Linked DNA regions of Neurospora crassa OR74A. The protein of the gene in region 1 interacts with the protein of each later gene in a pairwise test. Links are inferred from orthologs where the notes say so. Each region holds a gene or a part of one and is shown in the gene's direction. Other genes may lie near its edges.

Region 1 (4,875 bases):
CTCTTGGCCGACGACGGACGTAGCATGCACCAATGCCCTTGGGGCCGTAAATCTTGTGGGAGGAGATGGACATCAAGTCAATGTTCATGGCGTTAACGTCAACGGGGATCTTGCCAACAGCCTGGGCAGCGTCGGTGTGGAAGAAGATCTTCTTGGACCGGCAAAGCTTGCCGATTTCCTCGAGGGGTTGGATGACACCAATTTCGTTGTTGACAGCCATGATACTGACGATGGCGGTGTCGGGACGGATGGCAGCCTCCAGCTCCGCCATGTCGATCAGGCCGCTGCTCTTCACTGGGAGATAGGTCACTTCGAAACCCTCGTCCTGGAGATGCCTGCAGCTGTCGAGGACACACTTGTGTTCTGTCTGGCTGGTGATGATGTGCTTCTTCTTGCCGGACCGGCCAAAGAACCTAGCGACGCCCTTGATACTCATGTTGTTGCTTTCGGTGGCACCGCTGGTGAAGATGATTTCCTTGGGGTCAGCGCCAATCAGATCAGCAATGTGTTTCCTCGCCTCTTCAACGGCCTTGTCAGTCTCCCAGCCGTAGGCATGTGTCCTCGAGTGGGGGTTGCCATAGACGTTGGTGAAGTAGGGCATCATGGCATCGAGCACTCTGGGGTCGATGGGGGTTGTGGCCTGCATATCCAGGTAGATGGGACGCTGTCCCTCATCCATCACGGTAGCATTGCTGAGAACATCTAGTTGAGTCAGCAACGAGGACGACTGCGCAATATGTCTCCGAAGAGGTGGGAGGTGATGATGATGCTTACCAGCCATGGGGCTGACGTGTTGGCTCGAGCCATTTTGCGCGCTTATAGTGAGGCCCTGCTTCTCCATCTCCCTGTGATCCAGCTTGATAGCATGCTCGGCCTGCACGTCGGCGTTGTTCCTCTTGGTCTCGGTCACATAGCTCCTGGAAGCAGAAGCAGTCTTGACAGCAGCCGCAGTAGTCGCCCGCGACAGCACACGCGCGCTGCGGAGAGGAGCGGCCGCGGCCAAGCGCGATGCCTGTCGCAAGACGGACGGCGCAATGGTGGACATGGTAAAAGGAAGAAGAAAGAAGGAGAGGAAAAGAGAATATGGTGGTGAGGGTGATGGCGGATGAGGGAGAAAAAGTTCGTTTTGTAACCAAACCTACAAAAACGGATGGAGGCAGCGGGCGGGGCGGCTCAAAACACACTCAGAAATTCAGATGGAGCTGCCGCCTCCCGCTCTTCGGCGGTCGGAGTGGAATTTCCGCCATACAGAAAAGAACAAATCGAAACAAACGGCATCCGCACGCGGACTTGGCCTCGGAGGGGTCGGTGATAAAGGAATGTGCCAATGAGGGGCGACAACCAACAAGGTTTGGCACTTTGATTGGTCATTCTGCCATCGGATGGCCCCACCTGTTTCTTTCTCGGACATCGGACAAGCGCGTATGTACGTACGGCGAAAATGACGCTGCTCCAAAATGTTAGAGAATGGGCCGCCGGGCATGACGGAAACTGAACGCTCGATGTGCACCGCGGCGACTGACTTGACAAATACAGTGCGGAATGTCCACTTGTGAAACGGACTCCGCGGACGCATCTGATCCATCATTGCACAGAAAGGAAGAGCACTGACCCGGGGCAGGCATCCATCTGTTCTCTCAATCGGCATGTCCACTGGGATGAAAGCTACACTACAGCGGGCCCCAGACCCAGTCGGTCTACCCCGTCGTTCCAATTCGTTCCTTTCCGGGGTCTCATCGACCAAAAGCAGAACAACCGATGACGGTACCTATTTACCTCCTCGGTAGTATTCTGTTTCCATTCGCATTGGATGTCTGCGTTGGACTATAACTTGAACCATCAGTGACATGCCATATAACCGCCGACAACCTACTTGAATTCCATTTACACTGCTAAACTATTTAGTAGCATCTTACCTCTAGGACAGCTACCTCTAGCTACTTTACCTCCTACCGTTGAAGACCGAATCCTCCCCGAGGAAGTTTGTCGGACCTCGAACGGAACTGCTGACAAGGGTCCGACCGACGGGATTCAAGAACAAACCGAAATCACAAGACGCCTAGACAAAAAGACTTTTCACACTACATCTTGGAACGAGGTCGCTGTGTGCGGCGTGTCCAACATTCAGCAAATAGCAGCGCCACGCAAACCGTCGCAAGCTTCGCTCAGCCAAGACTTCGTCCACCAGCCAAACGACCTGCACCGCCCCCCTGCCCACCCCCAGCGTCATCACCATCGTATCCGGATCCGACTTGAAGAGGGCACTCGACCACCGATTGCCTTCAACCTCTCCGAACAGCAACCCGCTTTGCGCATCTCCATACAAACACCGAATACACATCAGACATCATACGGCTTCGTAGCAGAATATGAGCTTCAGGGGCTTCCAAAAAAGCGTGGTCCGCGTAGGTTCTGCCCCGCATACCTAGTTGATCTCACCTCCCCTAGTTTCGGTTACAGCGTCATCATCACTTCCGCCCTTCCCGTCGAGTCCCCCGTCTGTGGCAGAAATAGCGCCGAATCACTCGGGTTGGCAAACAGGCACTAACACGACAGAAACCAGGCACCACAACAATTCAAGCAAAAGTTTAACCTCGGCGAGCATACCAAAGACCCTGTCTACATCGACTCGGAGCGCAGATTCCAGGAGCTCGAAACCGAGACCAAACGCCTTCACGATGAAAGCAAAAAGTACTTTGAGGCCATCAATGGCATGCTGCAACACCAAATCGAGTTCTCAAAGGCAATGACCGAAATCTACAAGCCCATCAGCGGCCGCATGTCCGATCCCGATTCGCTCGTTCCCCATGGCAACTATGAGGGTATTGCCGCCTGCGAGGAGTACGAGGCCGTTGTCAAGGACCTGCAGGAAACACTGGCGCCAGAGTTGGAAATGATTGAGGCTAGGGTTATTCGGCCAGCGAACGAGCTCCTCGATGTGATCAAGGTCATTCGCAAAACGGCCGTGAAGCGCGAGCACAAGAAGCTGGACTACGACAGACACCGCGCCACCCTCAAGAAGCTCCAGGACAAGAAAGACCGGTCGGCAAAGGACGAGAAGGCCATGTGGAAGGCTGAGAACGAAGTTGAGCAGGCCACGCAAGAGTACAATTACTTCAACGATCTGCTTAAGGACGAGCTACCCAAGCTGTTTGCCCTCGAACGCCAGTTCATTCAGCCGCTTTTCCAGTCCTTCTACTACATGCAGCTCAACATCTTCTACACCTTGCACGAGAAGATGCAGCACTGCGACATTGGCTACTTCGACCTGACCCTGGACATTGAGGAGGCCTTTTACGCGAAGCGAGGTGACGTCCAGGAGCGGGCTGAGGCTCTCTCCATTGTCAAGTTCAAGACCACGGGTATGAAGCGACCGCCCAAGTACCAACGTCCAGGCGCTCTCGAAGGAAACAAGCCAGCAGGCCTACTTACAGCTGGCTCCTCCACGACCACTTCCACCGGTCCGCCTGAGGCGGCTCCCTCAGTCACAGCCCCACGCCCCTGGGAACAGCAACAACAAGCTCCTGCCGTCACAGCACCGCGACCTTGGGAAACCCAGGCGGAAACAGTAGAAGCGCATGCGCCGCCACCGTATTCGGTGAAGCCGAGCACGCTACATGCTACGCCCGCCTCCTACGCCGCTCCAGTTGCCAGCCCGAAACCCTCGTCGTTGTCCATGGCGGCGGCTGCAAAGGCCAAGCCCCCACCGCCGAAGCCCAAGCCCAAGGCCCTCATGGCGGCGGCACCCAAAGTAGAGACCGTCACAGCGCTTTACGACTACTCGGCGCAGGCGGAGGGCGATCTGAGCTTCCGTGCCGGTGATGTGATTGAGATAGTAACAAGGACTGCGAACGAGAATGAGTGGTGGATTGGAAAGTTGCATGGAAAGCAGGGTCAATTCCCAGGTACGTACTGTACTATTTCTTAGGGTGCTTGCTTTGTTGCGAGCTGGATATGTTCTGACACAATGGTCTTTTGCTAGGAAACTATGTCCAGTTAAACAGCTAGAGGATACAAGGCTACTTGTAAATGTAGTTATCAAAGAGTTGCTTTCAGCACACTTCACTTCTCAGCACGACTTCAACCTATACCCCTTTTTTGTGGACCCGTTCATGGTCGAGTTATTCATTTGCAACCACAACACGGATTCTTTCTAGTTCGTCTACATCGTACCAGGCCGTGACGTTCTGTAGCAGGGCCTTGGTGATCCTATACGGATGCAATGATATGCGGCAGGTGACTCTGTTGAGAATAGTCAGGCAGGAGGAAACTCCGTCGCGAAGGAGGACCTGCGAGGAGCGTGGAGCGAGAGGGTCCCGGGTGTTTGCGTCTAGGGAAATGGCGGGTGTATTGTTTTGGAGCGAAGGAAGCAACGGAGTGAAAAGGTCACAGTGCATTGGGTCAAACCTGGAAGTTTTGATTAGATGCGTTTTGCCATGATCGCCGTCGTGGTTTGTTCCCTTTAGGTTAGGTACTTGCCCGCGCGTCAAGCTTCCTCAGGTGAAGCTAATTTCTAATTTTGTTAACGCAACGACCACGCAGCTCAGCTTGAATCTAGTGTCACCAACAACCGCTTGCCTTGTCAAAACTACCTGGCTCGGCTTCACCTCCTGGCTCGACTCCAAGGATTCAGGTTTTTTTTTGGGAGGAAAGAAAGATGTGTATCATATCTGCTACTCATCTACAGGTAGGTATCACTGAAAGCCATGGCAAGTGTACTGGAGGGTCCTTATTGGAAATACCGATGTTGAACGATGGCCTCCAGCTAAGATGCAATGCTTCGGTGCCCTGGATAGCGAGGTCCTCTGGTTTAGCTTCAAGTGAGAGACATGCACCTGCCTTGTTGTACAAGACTAAGGCTAACAGAAGCTTCCA
Region 2 (5,051 bases), on another chromosome or scaffold:
TCGCGGAACTTCCGCGAGAAGGGTATGATCCGCCTCTCGACCTACCTTAAGCAGTACAAGTATGTTGCGACAGCGACGAATTGGGGTAGTTGGGACGTCATGGCTAACTTTCTGCTAGGGTTGGCGACATCGTCGACATCAAGGTCAACGGTGCTGTCCAGAAGGGGTAAGCGACGATCATTCCCACGCTTCTTATTTTTTTTGGGGCCATTACGATTGCGACAAACACCGAGATGCGGAATATGTTGGGGTTCTGAAACATCGGAATTTCGAAAGAGGAGGGGCACATGCGATTTCGAACGACGAGGACTTTTTGCGGAAATACGGGCGAGCTATGAAACTGACGTTGGAAATCGATTAGTATGGCCCACAAGGTCTACCACGGCAAGACTGGTGTCATCTACAACGTCACCAAGTCCGCTGTCGGCATCATCATCTACAAGAAGGTGAAGCACCGCTACATCGAGAAGCGCATCAACGTCCGCATCGAGCACATTCAGCCTTCCCGCTCCCGCGACGATTTCCTTCGCCGCGTCAAGCAGAACGCCGAGCTCAAGAAGCAGGCCAAGGCTGAGGGCAAGCCCGTCCAGCTCAAGCGCCAGGCCCTTCTTCCCCGTGAGGCTCGCACCATCTCTGTCGTCGACAACAAGCCCGAGACCGTTGCCCCCGTCGCCTACGAGACCACTATCTAAAGTACTCTTGGGATAGGACTGGTGGTAGACCTGGCGTATTTGGTTTTTCTTTGCATGGGGTTCATCGCGTTCGACACGGATAGATATCCTGCATGGATTTTTTGGTCTGGGATGCGGGAGTGCTTATAGGAATCAAAAATACCAGTGGCATGACCATGACCAAAACCAAAACACACGAGAACCGGCTCGATGCGCCTCCTCCTGATCAGGTGTACGTGCTTTTGAGCCTCGAGCCAACTTGTGATCGGATGGACTACGCCAGACGAATCTCGTGGCCAGACGAGTCACACAGGGACACACAATTCGAGCCCTGTCTGGCTGTGCGGCCGCTCTGTTTCTCGACCTAGCATCTTGCGGTTGATAGGGATACGCAAATAGAGCAAACGTGACAAACCACTTCACCGGGCCAATCTCTGCTACCAGTACGTATTGTGAGCATCTTAGCACGCTCAGAAGGTCTTCAAATCCAACTTGAAAGATGGGAGAGATTTGAGTAGAACGAAATGACTACAGCGTTATACTGGGCTTCCGTTTCCGACCTGGACGCAGAGATGCCATCTTTTGAGCCAACTGATGATTATTTGAATTGTAGAATTTCGATACCCAACCAGGGCCATTTATACATCCCCAGGCGCATCAACGCAACAGCCTTGCTAGATTGAAAGCGTTCATGCTTATGAAACTTGATAACGGAGCTTCAGTTATATATCTGTTTGTCACTGGTCGTTCCACTCTCAAGAATGTTCTTGGATTGTATACTATGATGATGATCATCTGGTTGGACAAAGGCGGCGGGCTGAGGCGGTCCATCACAGATCGATGACAGATTCACTGTGGGGTTTGAGGTTCATGTGGACGGAAATGTCGAGCAAGCTCGCTCCAGACCTCGAATGCCTGCCGAAGCATCGTCAGGGATTTTGCTTGGTCTCGTTGTGGCTTTCTGACATTGACGAGGCGTTGGTAGCATGTGGCTCAAAAAATAAACAGATTTGGCCAATTGGATATTGCGGCCGGGGAAGTGATAAGGCTCTCTCAGCATGTGGCTAAGCTACTGGATCTCCTCTTTGTCTAAATGCTACTTACTGGTGTAAATCTAGTATGTACATAGGTAGGTACCTCTAGGCAAAGTGTACCTTCTTAACCAGTACACATACGTACCTTTAGGTACCCGTCTTGGACCCTTCCAAATCGGAAGTGGTTTGACACTCTTGCACACAACCAGACCGAGGATGCTGTCACCAACAGGAACAGGAATAGGAACCGACCATCTGATCCCTTGGCTCTGTCACTACTACATAGTACTATGTAGTGTAGTTTCTAGCCAGTTTTCGGTTGTTTTTCTGGGCTCCTCTGGCCTGTCACATTCCCGGGCTACCGTTGAGTTTTGGTGTCCCGTCCGTGCCGTCCAGTGCAGGGTCGGAGTGAGTGGCCTTTTCAACACAGCTGCAGGCCATCCGTCATCTTTCAGTTCCTTCCACCTCAAACCCACCGCGCCCACTTCCGCTTCCGTTTCCTGTTTGTCTGAGCGCGCGCGTCTGTAATCCAACTAAACCTACGACTCATGACTTCGCCGTGCAACTGCGACTGCGAGCCCTGAGTTCGAGTCCGCATCGATGCCGCAATTGCAAACCATCTGCTCTGAGCTGCTGAGCAGGTAGCCAACCTGAGCGCGGTGGGCACACCGAACAGCGAGGAGTAGCGACCGCTGTCAGTCCTTCCTGTCTTGGCGCATCTTGCATGACCGCATCCTGGACTCGAACACTGCAGTGGACAATCTCCCTTCGACGGAAAAAAAATATACAGCCATGAGTTGGACCGTCTTCTTGTTGATATACCTCTTCGGAGGCCTTACCTTTCTGCCATTGTTGGTGGCTTGCGCTCTACTTCATGCTCACCTTACGTTTCCTTACCGCCCAGATGCCGTCCAGCACCACGACCCAGAAGCCGACGACTTGATCCAGCCTGGTGACGATCTTGATGCGCTCAAGGCGGAGCAAAAGAAGGATGGAAAGCCCCGGGTGACCCATCACGACGATGGTGTCGCTTCTGGGTATTTTGCAGTTTGCCGCGAGTATACGCCCATGGGAATCAACGCGAAGCCTATCGAGCGGTCGACACCTGTCGGCTCCACCACCGTCGCCGCTCCCAGTCCCAGTGTCTACCAGACAATGTATCGGAGTATATTCGATCGCAAGTCCACCGGTCCCAGTCCCATCGACCACAAGAACGGTCCTAGTCAGCGCCCTAAGAAGGCCGGCAATGTCTTTTATGTTGTCCTGAGGTGCGTGACATTATCCTTTTGACTCTCAATACGACCTGGATTCTGATGCTCGTGACAGACACGGCCATCTCATGCTCTTTGACGATGACGAACAACTCGAAGTACGGCACGTTGTGGCGCTGGCGCACCATGAAGTCAGCATATACTCCGGCGAGGAAGTTACTCCTGAGGGCGAGCTGTACATCAAGCGCAACGCTATACGTCTCTCGCGAAAAACAGACGGGCTGGAAATAGGACCGGATAGTCAGGTCTCGAAACCTTTCTACCTCTTTTCCGAAAATTGCTCTGCGAAGGAAGACTTCTACTTTGCTCTGCTACGAAATCAGGAACAGCAGGCCCTGGACACGGAAAGCGATATCCCATCTCCTATCCAGTTTGAGGTCAAGAACATTATCAACTTGGTACAGAGACTGCACTCGTCAGAAGAACACATGCAAACCCGTTGGCTCAACGCGATGATTGGGCGCGTCTTCTTGGGCATCTACAAGACCAAGGACATAGAGAACGCGATACGGGAGAAGCTCACAAAGAAGATTTCTCGAGTTAAAAGGCCGGCATTTCTATCCAACATTGCTATCAAAGGTATCGATACCGGAGAGTCAGCACCCTTTATCACGAATCCACGGCTACGAGATCTGACCGTTGAGGGTGAATGCTGCATTGAGGCAGATGTACGATACACTGGCAACTTCCGCTTGGAGGTTGCGGCGACAGCCAGGATTGATCTAGGCGCGCGATTCAAAGCACGAGAGGTTAATCTTGTCCTTGCCGTGGTTGTACGGAAACTCGAAGGTCATATCTTATTCAAAATCAAGCCCCCACCCAGTAATCGCCTATGGTTCTCTTTCCAACAGGCACCAAAGATGGAGATGACAATCGAACCTATTGTCAGCTCTAGACAGATTACCTATACCGTTATTCTCCGCCAGATCGAGAAGCAAATCAAGGAGGTTATGGCCGAGACCCTTGTCTTACCCTTCTGGGATGATATGCCTTTTTTCAATACAGAGCACAAGAAGTGGAGAGGTGGTATCTTTCATGATGACACCGTCGTCTCAACCATGGATTTGGAAACAGCTGCGGCTCAAGAAGGCGATTTGGACGAGGTGGAGCGATTGGAGGGTACTCAAGACGTTCACGAACCCGATCTGCCGCACGTGGAAAAAAGCCACAGCATGCCTACTCTCGACAAGAAACCGTCAATTAGCCTTTTTGGGCGGATGACAACGAAAGCGAAGGGGGACCCTGTCTATTCTGCATCTACGACCTCATTGAGCACGAACAATCAAAACGAGCTCAAGACCGATACGAGGAGTGAAACTTGTATACCACCTCCGATTCGGGTGGTTTCGATCACTCATCCTCCGACGCCAACGGTTAGCACAGACGCCATCAATGCTGACGTCTTCAAACCATCCTCGTCACCACCGGACGAAAGCCTTGCTGCATCAGCGATGGCAACGTTGTCTGTCCAGGCACATTCTCCAGCACGACCACAGCCGCCTCACTCGCCCCTGAGGCCGTCCGTCATACCCAAGTTATCAGACCAGTCTTCCGGGTCCTCTTCTTCTGAAGCTGTGGATGCGGAAAAAGATTTGCAGGACTTTGATAAAAAGAACCAGGCAAGACGAAACACAGCCACATCCGCAGGCAGCCAGGAGGAAAGCAGGACGAGGTCTCCAGCTTCGTCGATAAGGGGGTCTGTGAAAAGTCAAACTGGGACCATCAAGGGTATTTTTGCCCGGCGAGATACTGTATCATCGACAACAGGAGCACCCACGCCAAATCACCCAGACTCTGCGAAAAAGACTGCCTTGGCCGCCGCTTTTGTTACCAACGCGGCTGCATCTGCCAAGCGTTGGGGGCTCAATGCGTTCCAACGACACTCGAACAACGATGGGACACCGGGTAGGAGTGCTTCATTCACCGATGATCATCCATCGGTGCTGGACTTGAATCAGCCTATGGGACGTGGGCAGCCGCTTCCGCCTCCAGGAACACCACTTCCGATGCCAGACAGAAGGTTGAAGGCAACATCCATCAGTATCCCGAGACGCAAACCGATACCGCCTCCAGAT
Region 3 (5,192 bases), on another chromosome or scaffold:
AAATTTTTTAATAATAGTAAATAATTATTAAAAGATAGTACTAATTTTACTCGGGCTAACTTTTACTATAATATCGGCCCAATACTTTAATACTTCCTAAACGCCTTTCTTAATTTCCTTTAAAATATCCTTCTTTAAATTATTAAAATCCTTCTTAATAATAAATTAATCGATTCTAACTTTACTAACTTCGGGTTATATAAACCTACTTTTTTTAACGTATACCTTTATAAATTTAAGAAGTAATTCTCGAATTTAACGACGGTCCTTAGTCGAAATAATATTATAGTCCGCAAATTTATTCGCTTTAACAATAAATTTCTTTAATATTTTATTATCTTTATTTATTTTATTTAAAGTCTTTATAGTAAGTACGGCTTTAGAATTGTTATATATTGAGATTTCCGCAAGCGGGTTGTAGATACTATTTTCAAATCTACAAGTACTGCTATTAATAGCTATCGGCAACGACAATACAATACTATTGCTATATTCGTCGTAAGATATTGTAAGGAACGTAAACGACCCTCCTAAGTCGATTGCTGTTATTAATTTTCATTTTAGAGTACTCCTCGACTAGAAATCGGCGTTTCCGGTTTCAAAGCAGTTTTTTAGGCTATAAGGTAGCTACTAGAATATACGGCTATTTAAACTCTAGTACTCGAGCGACCCGGAGGGTAGTGTTTTATCCTTTCTTTCTTCGTAGAACTTTAATATATACACATAAGGCCAGCACCTACATATCGCTCTACTGTCCCCTTATAGTAAGAAAGTGAAATATAGAAGGAAATTTTACAATTAACAGCCGGCCTAACTAGGGATCCTTTTATATAAGGACCCTAGTTAGAATAAGGATTTACCTTAGTTTATAGGGGTAGATTCCCTACTTCCCGGCCCGCCTACCAATAGTAGTTAGCTACCATACGCTCGACTATAGTACCAAGCGTACTCCGGCTATAGTGCTAGGTACAGCTCAATTAAGTAGTCTAACTAGCCCAGTACTCTAATCTACAGCTAATCGTATATATCTAGTAACAACTTTTTAATATATAGAAAATTGTAAAAGAGAAAAAGCTTAATGGATAAGTATATTACTTTGTTCTAACTATTTTCTAATTCTCTTTTTACTTTTAAATAACTATTAGATTATAAATACATATTATTTTATTATATTTAATATAAATTATCTCTCTAACCCTAGTAGGTATTTTTCTTATATAGTTTTATTATTTATAGGTACCTACTTTAGAAATACGAGTCTAGTAAGGTCCTATAAAGTAGAAGAGGGCAGAGAACGAGTAGTCCTAGTTATATACACCTATATATAAATCTAAAATACAAGTATAATAATTTGCAAATGAGTAGAGAGTTAGCAGAACTACCAGCAAGAAGTATTTTAATATAACCTTTTTAATAATATTTTGGGTAAGGTACTAAAACTCTGTAATATAAATTTCTAGGAATCGGTAGAAGCGTTTTCTTATTGTTATCATTTCTACTATAACAAGCAATAACTATCCCTTACGATATTACTACTCTAATCCTTTATAGCCTATTCAATGCTGGAGAGGATAAGAAAGGTTATTAAGGCAGATGAAGATATTATTAACTACTATTACAATAAATGAGAATCCTAGCTGTATTACAATCCTAGTTTTCTATAGGATTAGTGGCTTGGCTGGCGCCTTGGCTGTACCGCGCTAACATTTCAAAGCTATGCAGAGGTGTAGTAGTGTATTGACATATGTGCGCGGATGGAGCTCCACCCCAACTTCCACTTACCTACCTAGGTACCTAAAGGGTACCTAACTTCAGCGCTGCGTAGCTCTAACGACTTGTCCCGTCCATGCGCCTCCAAACACCGGAACCTTCATCTTGCTCTCGACCTCCAATATCGACCCGACCGACGTCTAGATCACCAACAATCTGTAGCCGTTGCTGCAGCTATCAGCAATTCACGATATTCCGATTGCTGAACGCTCCAGCTCCTTCGCGTCGTTTACCCATCCATCCCGCTCTACAAAGCTGGCCACTCCGCCCACCATGGCCTCCTTAAACCTGTCCATCCACGGGCCCTCCATTAAGAGCAGCTATCAGGGCGTCATCAACGGCCCTGCGCCATCTTCGGCATCTCCTACCTACGCACACTGGGCCCTTTTTTCCGTCCAGGCGCCTCTTTTGAATGCCTTCCAAGACTCTGGGGCAAAAGAGAGCATCCTGAAGGTCGAGAGCACTGGCGGTGAGTGCCATGCCGGCCCACAACTTCTCCTTCCCACCATATCCATGGGCCCGACTAATTATCAGTCGTCACAGATGGTGAGCTTTCCGACCTGATCGAGGACTTCAACGAGGGTCGCATTCAATTTGCCTTCGTCAAAGTCAAGGACCCCAACAGTGGACTTCCTAAGAACGTCTTGATTGCCTGGTGTGGCGGTGGTGTTCCCGAGCGAACAAAGGGGTACTTTACCAGCCATTTGGCCGCCGTCTCCAAGATTCTTCACGGCTACCATGTTCAAATAACAGCACGCTCCGACGGAGACCTTTCTCCCGAGTCTATTGTGCAAAAGGTTGCCGATGCTTCAGGCGCCAAATATACCGCCGGTGGTTCGGCACCCGCGTCAGCCGTTGCCCCGCCCCCCGTTGCAAAGAAGCCCGTTTTCACCCCGACTACCTCTACATCGGCCAGCTCTTTCAACCCCATTGTTGCCGCACGGATCCGGAATCACGGGGGCGAAGATGACGACGGCTGGGGTGTCGACGCACCGCCAGTCACGCGGACCCAGCTGGAGAAGGTCGCGTCTGCCTACCAGCCGACCAAGGTCAACATTGCCGAACTCAGAAAGAACAAAGATGACTCGCGTTCCGAAGAAACTCAGAAGCAAAATGACCGGCCGGAAGACATTGTTAAGGGTGGTTATCAGCCTATCGGAAAGGTTGATATTGCTGCTCTTCGCGCCCAAGCAAAGAAGACCCATGATGATCGGCCTGTAACCGTGAAGGGAGCCTATGAACCGGTGGGCAAGGTTGATATTGCCGCCATTCGCGCAAAGGCGCAACAACGTCCGACTGAACCGGAAGAATTGGAGACGCCCAGGAGTCTGGCAGAGAGGACTGCTGTATTTACGCAAGCAGAACGCTTGACCGAACTTCCCAAGCCCAAAGTTGCCAAGAAATTTGTAGGCAGCGCTGCATTTACTGGCACCAAAGCTCCCACGCCGGCTCCTCTCGGTTTCAGCTCGCCTGCAGTTCCTACCGCTACTCCTATTGGGGCTGCCAGCAGAACATTTGCGGATCAGGGAGGCAAGACGCCGGCCCAAATCTGGGCCGAGAAGAAGGCCAAACAAGGCGGTGCAGTTGCATTTGCGTCCACTCCCTCTCCCGCCGCTGCGCCTATTGCTGCCCAGAAGAGCGGCAGCGAATGGAAAAGCGGTTACGCGGGGAAGAGCTGGGCACCTGTGCAGGCACCCAATTACAGCCGAGGTCTTGAATTACACGCAACCGGAGGAAGCGCCTCGCAAGAGCAATATGAGCCTGAAGCACCTGCCTCACCGGCTGGCGGCATATCTGCGCTGCGCGAGAGATTCAAGGATACGGCACCTGTGGCGGTCCGTACGGGGTCACGGTCAGCACCAAGCGTGCCTTCTCCCGGCCCGGCCACTGGTGAAGAAGGGCATACTCCGCCGCCCCTGCCAACCGGAAGCCGTCCTTCCGGTGGCTTTGCTCTTCCTGGTCTGCCATCCCGGCCTTCTGTTGCTGACGACGAGGAAGGGAACGATGAAAGGCAGCTAGAAGAAGAAGTCCGTGCACTCGAACCGGCCGACCAGCATGAAGAGGAGCCTTCGTCCCCTGCTCGCATCGCAGTCCCGATTGCTCGGAGCGCAGTGCCTGAGGTGGAGCCAGCTGGCAATCTGCCGCCCCGTCCGGTGCCCGTATCGCAGGATCTACCGAAAGAAGAGGACCTCCCCGTAGAGGAGGATACCCACGATCCGCGTGCTGCTGCCCTGAATGTTGCCAGCGAATCTCTTGGCCAGGGTGTCGAGGTTCAGCAGGCTGGTTCAGATGGTGGCAAGCGTGCTCTGGTACAATATGACTACGAGAAGGCCGAGGATAATGAGATTGATCTCCAGGAAGGTGACTATGTCACTAATATTCAGATGGTGGATGACGATTGGTGGATGGGAACCAATGCGCAAGGGGAGAGTGGACTTTTCCCTAGCAACTACGTGGAAGTCGTGGAAGACGATGAGCCTGCTGCTGCTTTCAGCGCAGCCCCAACAGTAGCGGCGACTCAAGCCCCTGTTGTGCCTTCATCTGCGCAGGCCGAAGCGGTAGCACCTGCAACTCCGGCCGATCAAGTTGCTGGCCCAACAGCGACGGCGCAGTTTGATTACGAGGCAGCAGAAGATAATGGTAAGTGATGCTTGGAAGCCCCGCATATATCAGCCGCGAAACCCAGGCCTAGTAGTGACTAACGAATCGGTACAGAGTTGAGCTTCCCCGAAGGAGCCACGATTACGGGTTTGGAGTTTCCCGATGATGACTGGTGGTTTGGCCACTACAGTGGAGCGTCAGGTCTGTTCCCCGCCAACTACGTTGAGCTTAATGCATGATTGAAGGCAAAGGTGTCGAAATCCACGGTGCTGGTAATGGAAAATCAGCTTATTCGGTAGTCTAGTTTAATAATTTTCAGCTGAAACTTAACTAGTATGTACAGTAGGGTTGTTGCGCGAAGATATACTTTACAAGTGATAACAACAGAGAATAATGGAGTGAGTAACTGGTTGCTAGATAGAGTAATAGTGCGTAACGATTGACGACAGTCTTATTAAAGGAAATTAAAAATAAGAATTGTCGCAAATCTCAACTTAGAACCTCGTATACAACTTTACTAAATATAAGCAATATAAATATAAGGTTAGTATAATATAAATTAATAATGTATCAACTTTAATAAAGGTTAAGAGGATAAAATACTCTTGTATAATAAACTATACGCCCTAGTAAACGGCTACTATAATAAAATAGAGTATGTGAATATTTATTAAGAATACCCTATAACATCTCCCCCTAAATAAAAGGATAAGAGTATTTACTACATATATAATATTATTAAGTTTAACTATATATATAAAACATTCCATTATTTATTATAACCTTTATTTATTAACTTATATTTGTATAAATTGTTAAGT
Region 4 (5,135 bases), on another chromosome or scaffold:
TGGCTGGGTAATGCAAGTGGTACTGGTATCTGGAGTCATGCTATATAGACTTGACAGAATATTGAACCGAGTTCAGAGGGTGATTCGATCGATATAGGTATAATCTACGTTGAACTGGCGTTTAGACTTTTGGTCAGGGTATCTCCACCAAGAAAAAGGGGGTCGACAATAGTTGCTACTAGCTTGTATTGATGATTACGTTACCGTACGCGAGGGAGTTACGACGAAACAAATGCAATTCAGGGGGCGTATAAATAACATCGACACCCGCTGAACGGCTCCCATGCCCAGCGGACCCCGACCTGAAATGAACGATCCACCAAGCGCCCAAATGTCAAGAGGGAAAACCCGGGATATGACGCTATCTACACGTGCGGTTACAGTAGATCGCTGATGAATGCCCGGGTTTGCCGGTCGGGACCAGCTGGCTGCTGTTTCTTGATTGATTGATGGGAAAGTTGGGCGTGAAGAAGAGCCCAAGTTGACTGTCACAATTAAGCCACAATTACGGCCAATCAATAGATACTGTGTAACAAAGTGAAAGTTGCGCTTTCGAGGTACTTATTCAGGTGCTATGCCGTACCAGCAGCGCTCGAGATGCGGCTGGGCTGTGCTTGCTCCTGCACGATCTCACTCTTTCGGGTTCAATTTGGACAAGAATCCTTCGTTCCTGCGCCAGTACCTTGCTTCGATGTTGTTGGTCGGTCATTGGGGTTGACCTGAACCCTCGAAATGCGCTGCGGTTATTCCAAATAAAAGCTAGGTACATACACCTCCAGCGCTGGGAGGTTACGTACCTGTTCTTGGGGTTTCAAATTGTAAGGTACGAACAAGGTGTTCATTTGTCCTCGGGTCAATAGTGCACTTCCTACCTACGCTTGATTTGATCTCGAATGGATTTTCCGTGGACATTGCAATTACATAAATATACATTTTGGTGATAGCATCCATGAAGATCGCGGTGTCTTCGCGACCGCTTCGTTGCATCGTCTAAATTCCCCCAAATTCAGCGAACCCCCCCACCCCCCCGAACACACACCCCCCGGACCGGCTCCTTTAAACGAGCACTTGGGTCCACGACTTGGACATAGAGTAATTTCCAACGTCTCCCTTGGCTCGACCATTTCGACCGCAACTCCAGACTCTTGATCACGATAAAGGTCAAATTCCTCGCAGGGTCACCGCAGCCGCGCGTGCTCGCTGTCGTCGACATCTTCCCGACGTTCCCTCGCTCGAAATTACAGGCTACCTATCCGTAGGTACCATACAGGAGGGCCTTGGCCGGCCGCAATCCTACGCGCAAGCGGGCATACCTACAGTGCTTGCTTCAGCGGCTACCCCTTGCTTCAGGAGCACCCGTACACTCTAGAAGAGCTTCCATCCTCGTTCACCTTCTGCCCGGCAGCCGCAGCGCCGCACCCCCGTCACCCGTCACCAACCCAGCGTCACCCGCTCTCACACGCTGCTGCCGCCGCCGCCGCCGCCGCTCGCTCCTTGATTCCATTTCCTACCGGACACACACACACCCCCCCTTCCCCGGCAGAACCAAGACTTGTGATACCACACCACCAGCCACCATTCGCACCACGGCGCCTTTCGTTTTCCCCAATTCCTTTCTTCGCAACAGCAACTCCCTTGCGTCGGTTCATGTCGGCTGCCATCCAAAGGGCATCATACGAGCAGATTTCCCGCAGCAGCCATGGGCTTCCTCGGCGTCTATAGGGCCATTTACGATTACACGCCCCAGGGCGAGGGCGAGTTGACAATCTCCGAGGGCGACATTCTCTATGTGTTGGAAAAGAGTCAGGAGGACGATTGGTGGAAGGCGAAGAAGAAGGCCAATGCTGCCGACGATGACGAGCCCGTCGGCTTGATCCCCAACAACTACATTGAGGAGGTATGTAATGTGGTCCGAGGTCTAGATCTGGATTGCGTGCAGTGTCATCTGGGCACTTGTACCTGCTTGGAGGATAGCAAGCTGGCTGGCCTTGGCATTCAGATGGATCACTTGAACTGACCGCGCACACCATGACGCCAGGCGAAACCCGTATCATACGCTCGCGCGCTCTACGAGTACACGCGTCAGACCGACGAAGAGCTCTCCTTCCCCGAGGATGCGCAGCTCTCAGTCTTCGACACTTCCGACCCCGATTGGATCCTTGTTGGCCACGATGGCGACTACGGCTTCGCGCCCGCCAACTACATCGAGTTGGGCGATGGCCAGGCTGGCCAGGTCGAGGAGGAGGAAGAAGCGACTGCCCCCCCTCCTCCTCTTCCGCAGAGGACACCCAGCGTCAGCGTCGATGTAGCCAGCCCGCCCCTGCCCGCCAGGAGTGTGCCCTCCGAGCCAAGCACCCCTGTCGCCGCTTCCAACCCTGCTGCCGCCGCCATCGCCGGAGTTATGGCCAACCGCTCTTCTTTCCAACCTCCAGCGCCTATCAGTGTTCCCCAGCCCCAGCGACAGTCATACGCTTCGGAAGATTACGAAAATGAGGTAAGGTCCCCGCCGCTTCCGAGCCGCCCGCGGGGCGATTCGCAAATTGCTCCGGAGCAAAAATCCTACAGACCGGTGCCGCCGCCCGCTCAGTCAGCAGCCCACGACACCGACGACTATGGCATTAGCCCGCGAACCTCCCAGGCTCCTCCTCCTCAGACCGCCGCGCTTACCCCTGGCGGTTTCCACATGTACAACATCAACGAGATGACGTCGGTGATGGGCAAGAAGAAGAAGATGCCTACCACGCTGGGCATCAACCTGAGGACGGGAATGATTCTCATAGCGCCGGAACATTCCCACGACGGTCCATCGCAGGAATGGCGGGCCGATTGCATGACACACTACTCTCGGGAGGGCAAGCACGTGTTTATGGAGCTCGTACGACCAAGCAAGAGCGTTGACTTTCATGCGGGCGCCAAGGACACCGCTGAAGAGATCGTCGCGATGCTGGGCGACATGGCCGGAACTGTGCGCCTCGAGGGACTCAAGGAGATCATTGCCGCGGGAGCCGGAGGCAAGAAGAAGAAGGGTGCTGTGCTGTATGATTTTATGGCTCAGGGTGAGGACGAGGTTACTGTCGGCGTTGGTGATGAGGTAGTTATTCTCGACGATACCAAGAGTGACGAGTGGTGGATGGTGCGTCGCGTCAAGAACGGCAAGGAGGGTGTGGTTCCCAGCAGCTACATTGAGATCAACGGCGTGTGGGAAGAGCCGGAGACGGCCGTTACCGGTATTGCCGTGGGCATGTCGGAAGTCGAGAAGAACCGCCTGGAAGAGGCGCGCTTAACCAAGGAGGCTATCAAGGCTGCCCAGCGCGAGGAAGAGAAGGAGAAGCAGAAGAGGAACTCTGAGGTAGGCCCAGGATTGCAATTGCAAGAACGAAATAGTAGTTTGCCGGCCACAGATGATAACAGGAGAGGAAAACAGCGAAGCAGTAGGCGCGAACCCGGTCAGAACAGCAGCTCCAAGTCGTCAAGCAAGTCGAGTAAGTACACCCATGTCCAGATTTTCTTTCAGAGTATGCAGAATACTGACAGTTTGTCGCAGAGCCCGATCCTTCCAAAGTGCGAACATGGACCGATCGATCCAAGTCCTTCAGCGTTGAGGCCCAGTTCCTCGGTGTCAAGGATGGCAAGATCAGGCTCCACAAGATGAACGGTGTGCAGATCGCCGTGCCCGTCTCGAAGATGTCAGTTGAGGATCTCGAGTACGTGGAGCGCGTAACTGGCGAATCTCTCGACGAAGACAAGCCCCTATCCGATCTTAGGAACAAGCGATCCGCCGGTGAGTCTTCGAGGTCTAGTCGATCGACGCGCGACAGGGAAAGAGACCGTGGTTCCAGCTCCCGGGTTGGCGCCACCATCGATTCCTCGAAGAAGCCCGACTACGACTGGTTTAACTTCTTCCTTGGTTGTGACATACAGGTTGGTTTGTGCGAACGGTATTCTCAAGCTTTCCTGCGGGAGGCTATCGACGAAAGTGTCTTGCCAGATGTTGATGCTACTGTGCTGAGGAACTTGGGCTTGCGTGAAGGTGATATTATCAAGGTCATGCGGTACCTGGACAACAAGTACATGCGGAACAAGAAAGGCGAAGAGGGCGAGGGAGGACTCTTCTCTGGGCCAGGAGGTGCGCTCCGCAACAACACGAAGAAGGGCAGGCCGGCGCCCCCCGTCGAGGTCAGCAACACCGTTGATCCCAACGCTTTCTCTAAGGACTCGGGTGCTGGTAGTGGCAAGTCATCATCTCCTACGGCTGCGGCTACGCCAACACCGTCTGCCTCGAAGCCTTCCAGTGGCTTTGATGATGATGCTTGGGATGTCAAGCCTACCAAGACGAAAACCCCTGAGCCGGCTGCGCAAGCCGTTGCTCCCGCTCCTGCGGCGGCACCCGCTGCCGCTCCAGCCCCTGCTGCGCCAGCTCTGGTTGACGCGCCGGCCCCCCCTCCGCCGGCGGCTCTTACCAAGTCGATGCAGGAGTTGTCGTTGCTTACCCAGCCTTTGGAACCCGAGAAGGTCGCTCCTCCGCCAGTTGTGCAACCGGCCATCACGTTGCCTCCGCCCTCCGCGGCTCCAGCTCCGGCTGCTGCTGCTCCTGCACAGGTCCCTCAGCTTACCGGCGCCACTCCCGGCTTCTTCACCGGTATGCAACCTCCTGCTGTTGGTGCACAGATCCTTCCTCAAAACATTGCCCGTCAAAGACCTCTTGCTCCTCAGTTCACTGCGGCCCCGGGTGGTCTTGTTGCTCCACCTCCATCTCGCCCCCTCTCGGCGCCTCAGTCCGCTCAACCCAGCGCCTTCACGCCACCCCCTATCCAGCCTCAGATGACCGGTTTCCAGGCACCCCAGATTGCTCCTCCTGGCCAGAGCCTCGGCGATCTCGCCCAGCAACGTCTTCAGCAGCAGTACACCGCCCAGATGCAGGCCCAGCAACAACAGATGCAACAGCCTATGATGACGGGCATGCAACCTATGATGACGGGCATGCAGCCCCAGCAGACCGGCTTCGGCCAATTCCCCCCTCAACAACAACCCTTCATGCCCCAGCCTACCGGCTTTGGTATGCAGCAGCAACAACAACCCATGATGACAGGCATGCAGCCCCAGCAAACCGGCTTCGGTCAATTCCCTCAACAACA

What was found.
Region 2: the proteins of NCU04637 (region 1) and NCU01947 interact in binary tests that used the Saccharomyces cerevisiae proteins (3 or more experiments, as listed by UniProt). The link is inferred for Neurospora crassa OR74A from reciprocal best matches to the Saccharomyces cerevisiae genes RVS167 and NVJ2.
Region 3: the proteins of NCU04637 (region 1) and NCU10073 interact in binary tests that used the Saccharomyces cerevisiae proteins (3 or more experiments, as listed by UniProt). The link is inferred for Neurospora crassa OR74A from reciprocal best matches to the Saccharomyces cerevisiae genes RVS167 and ABP1.
Region 4: the proteins of NCU04637 (region 1) and NCU02978 interact in a two-hybrid assay, tested with the Saccharomyces cerevisiae proteins (2 studies listed by BioGRID). The link is inferred for Neurospora crassa OR74A from reciprocal best matches to the Saccharomyces cerevisiae genes RVS167 and SLA1.

Annotation. Positions count from the first base shown.
Region 1 is NC_026505.1:1,375,118-1,379,992, reverse strand, and holds NCU04637 (BAR adaptor protein RVS167), read left to right. Parts: upstream 1-1,653; 5' UTR 1,654-2,369; coding exon 2,370-2,405; intron 2,406-2,563; coding exon 2,564-3,905; intron 3,906-3,982; coding exon 3,983-4,008; 3' UTR 4,009-4,753; downstream 4,754-4,875. Other genes in the region: NCU04636 (cysteine desulfurase), read right to left, coding at 1-702, 775-1,045. UniProt on the Saccharomyces cerevisiae protein: Component of a cytoskeletal structure that is required for the formation of endocytic vesicles at the plasma membrane level.
Region 2 is NC_026501.1:1,898,575-1,903,625, forward strand, and holds the start of NCU01947 (hypothetical protein), read left to right. Parts: upstream 1-2,026; 5' UTR 2,027-2,497; coding exon 2,498-2,973; intron 2,974-3,031; coding exon 3,032-5,051. Other genes in the region: NCU01948 (60S ribosomal protein L21), read left to right, coding at 1-59, 119-166, 362-692. UniProt on the Saccharomyces cerevisiae protein: During endoplasmic reticulum (ER) stress or when cellular ceramide levels increase, induces contacts between the ER and medial-Golgi complex to facilitate non-vesicular transport of ceramides from the ER to the Golgi complex where they are converted to complex sphingolipids, preventing toxic ceramide accumulation.
Region 3 is NC_026501.1:4,039,838-4,045,029, reverse strand, and holds NCU10073 (actin binding protein), read left to right. Parts: upstream 1-1,805; 5' UTR 1,806-2,043; coding exon 2,044-2,239; intron 2,240-2,313; coding exon 2,314-4,410; intron 4,411-4,485; coding exon 4,486-4,610; 3' UTR 4,611-4,769; intron 4,770-4,831; 3' UTR 4,832-4,851; downstream 4,852-5,192. UniProt on the Saccharomyces cerevisiae protein: Regulates ARP2/3 complex-mediated actin assembly. Recruits ARP2/3 complex to sides of preexisting actin filaments, which may promote nucleation or stabilization of filament branches. Binds to actin filaments, but not actin monomers.
Region 4 is NC_026501.1:8,519,682-8,524,816, forward strand, and holds the start of NCU02978 (cytoskeleton assembly control protein SLA1p), read left to right. Parts: upstream 1-1,699; coding exon 1,700-1,897; intron 1,898-2,038; coding exon 2,039-3,482; intron 3,483-3,544; coding exon 3,545-5,135. UniProt on the Saccharomyces cerevisiae protein: Component of the PAN1 actin cytoskeleton-regulatory complex required for the internalization of endosomes during actin-coupled endocytosis. The complex links the site of endocytosis to the cell membrane-associated actin cytoskeleton.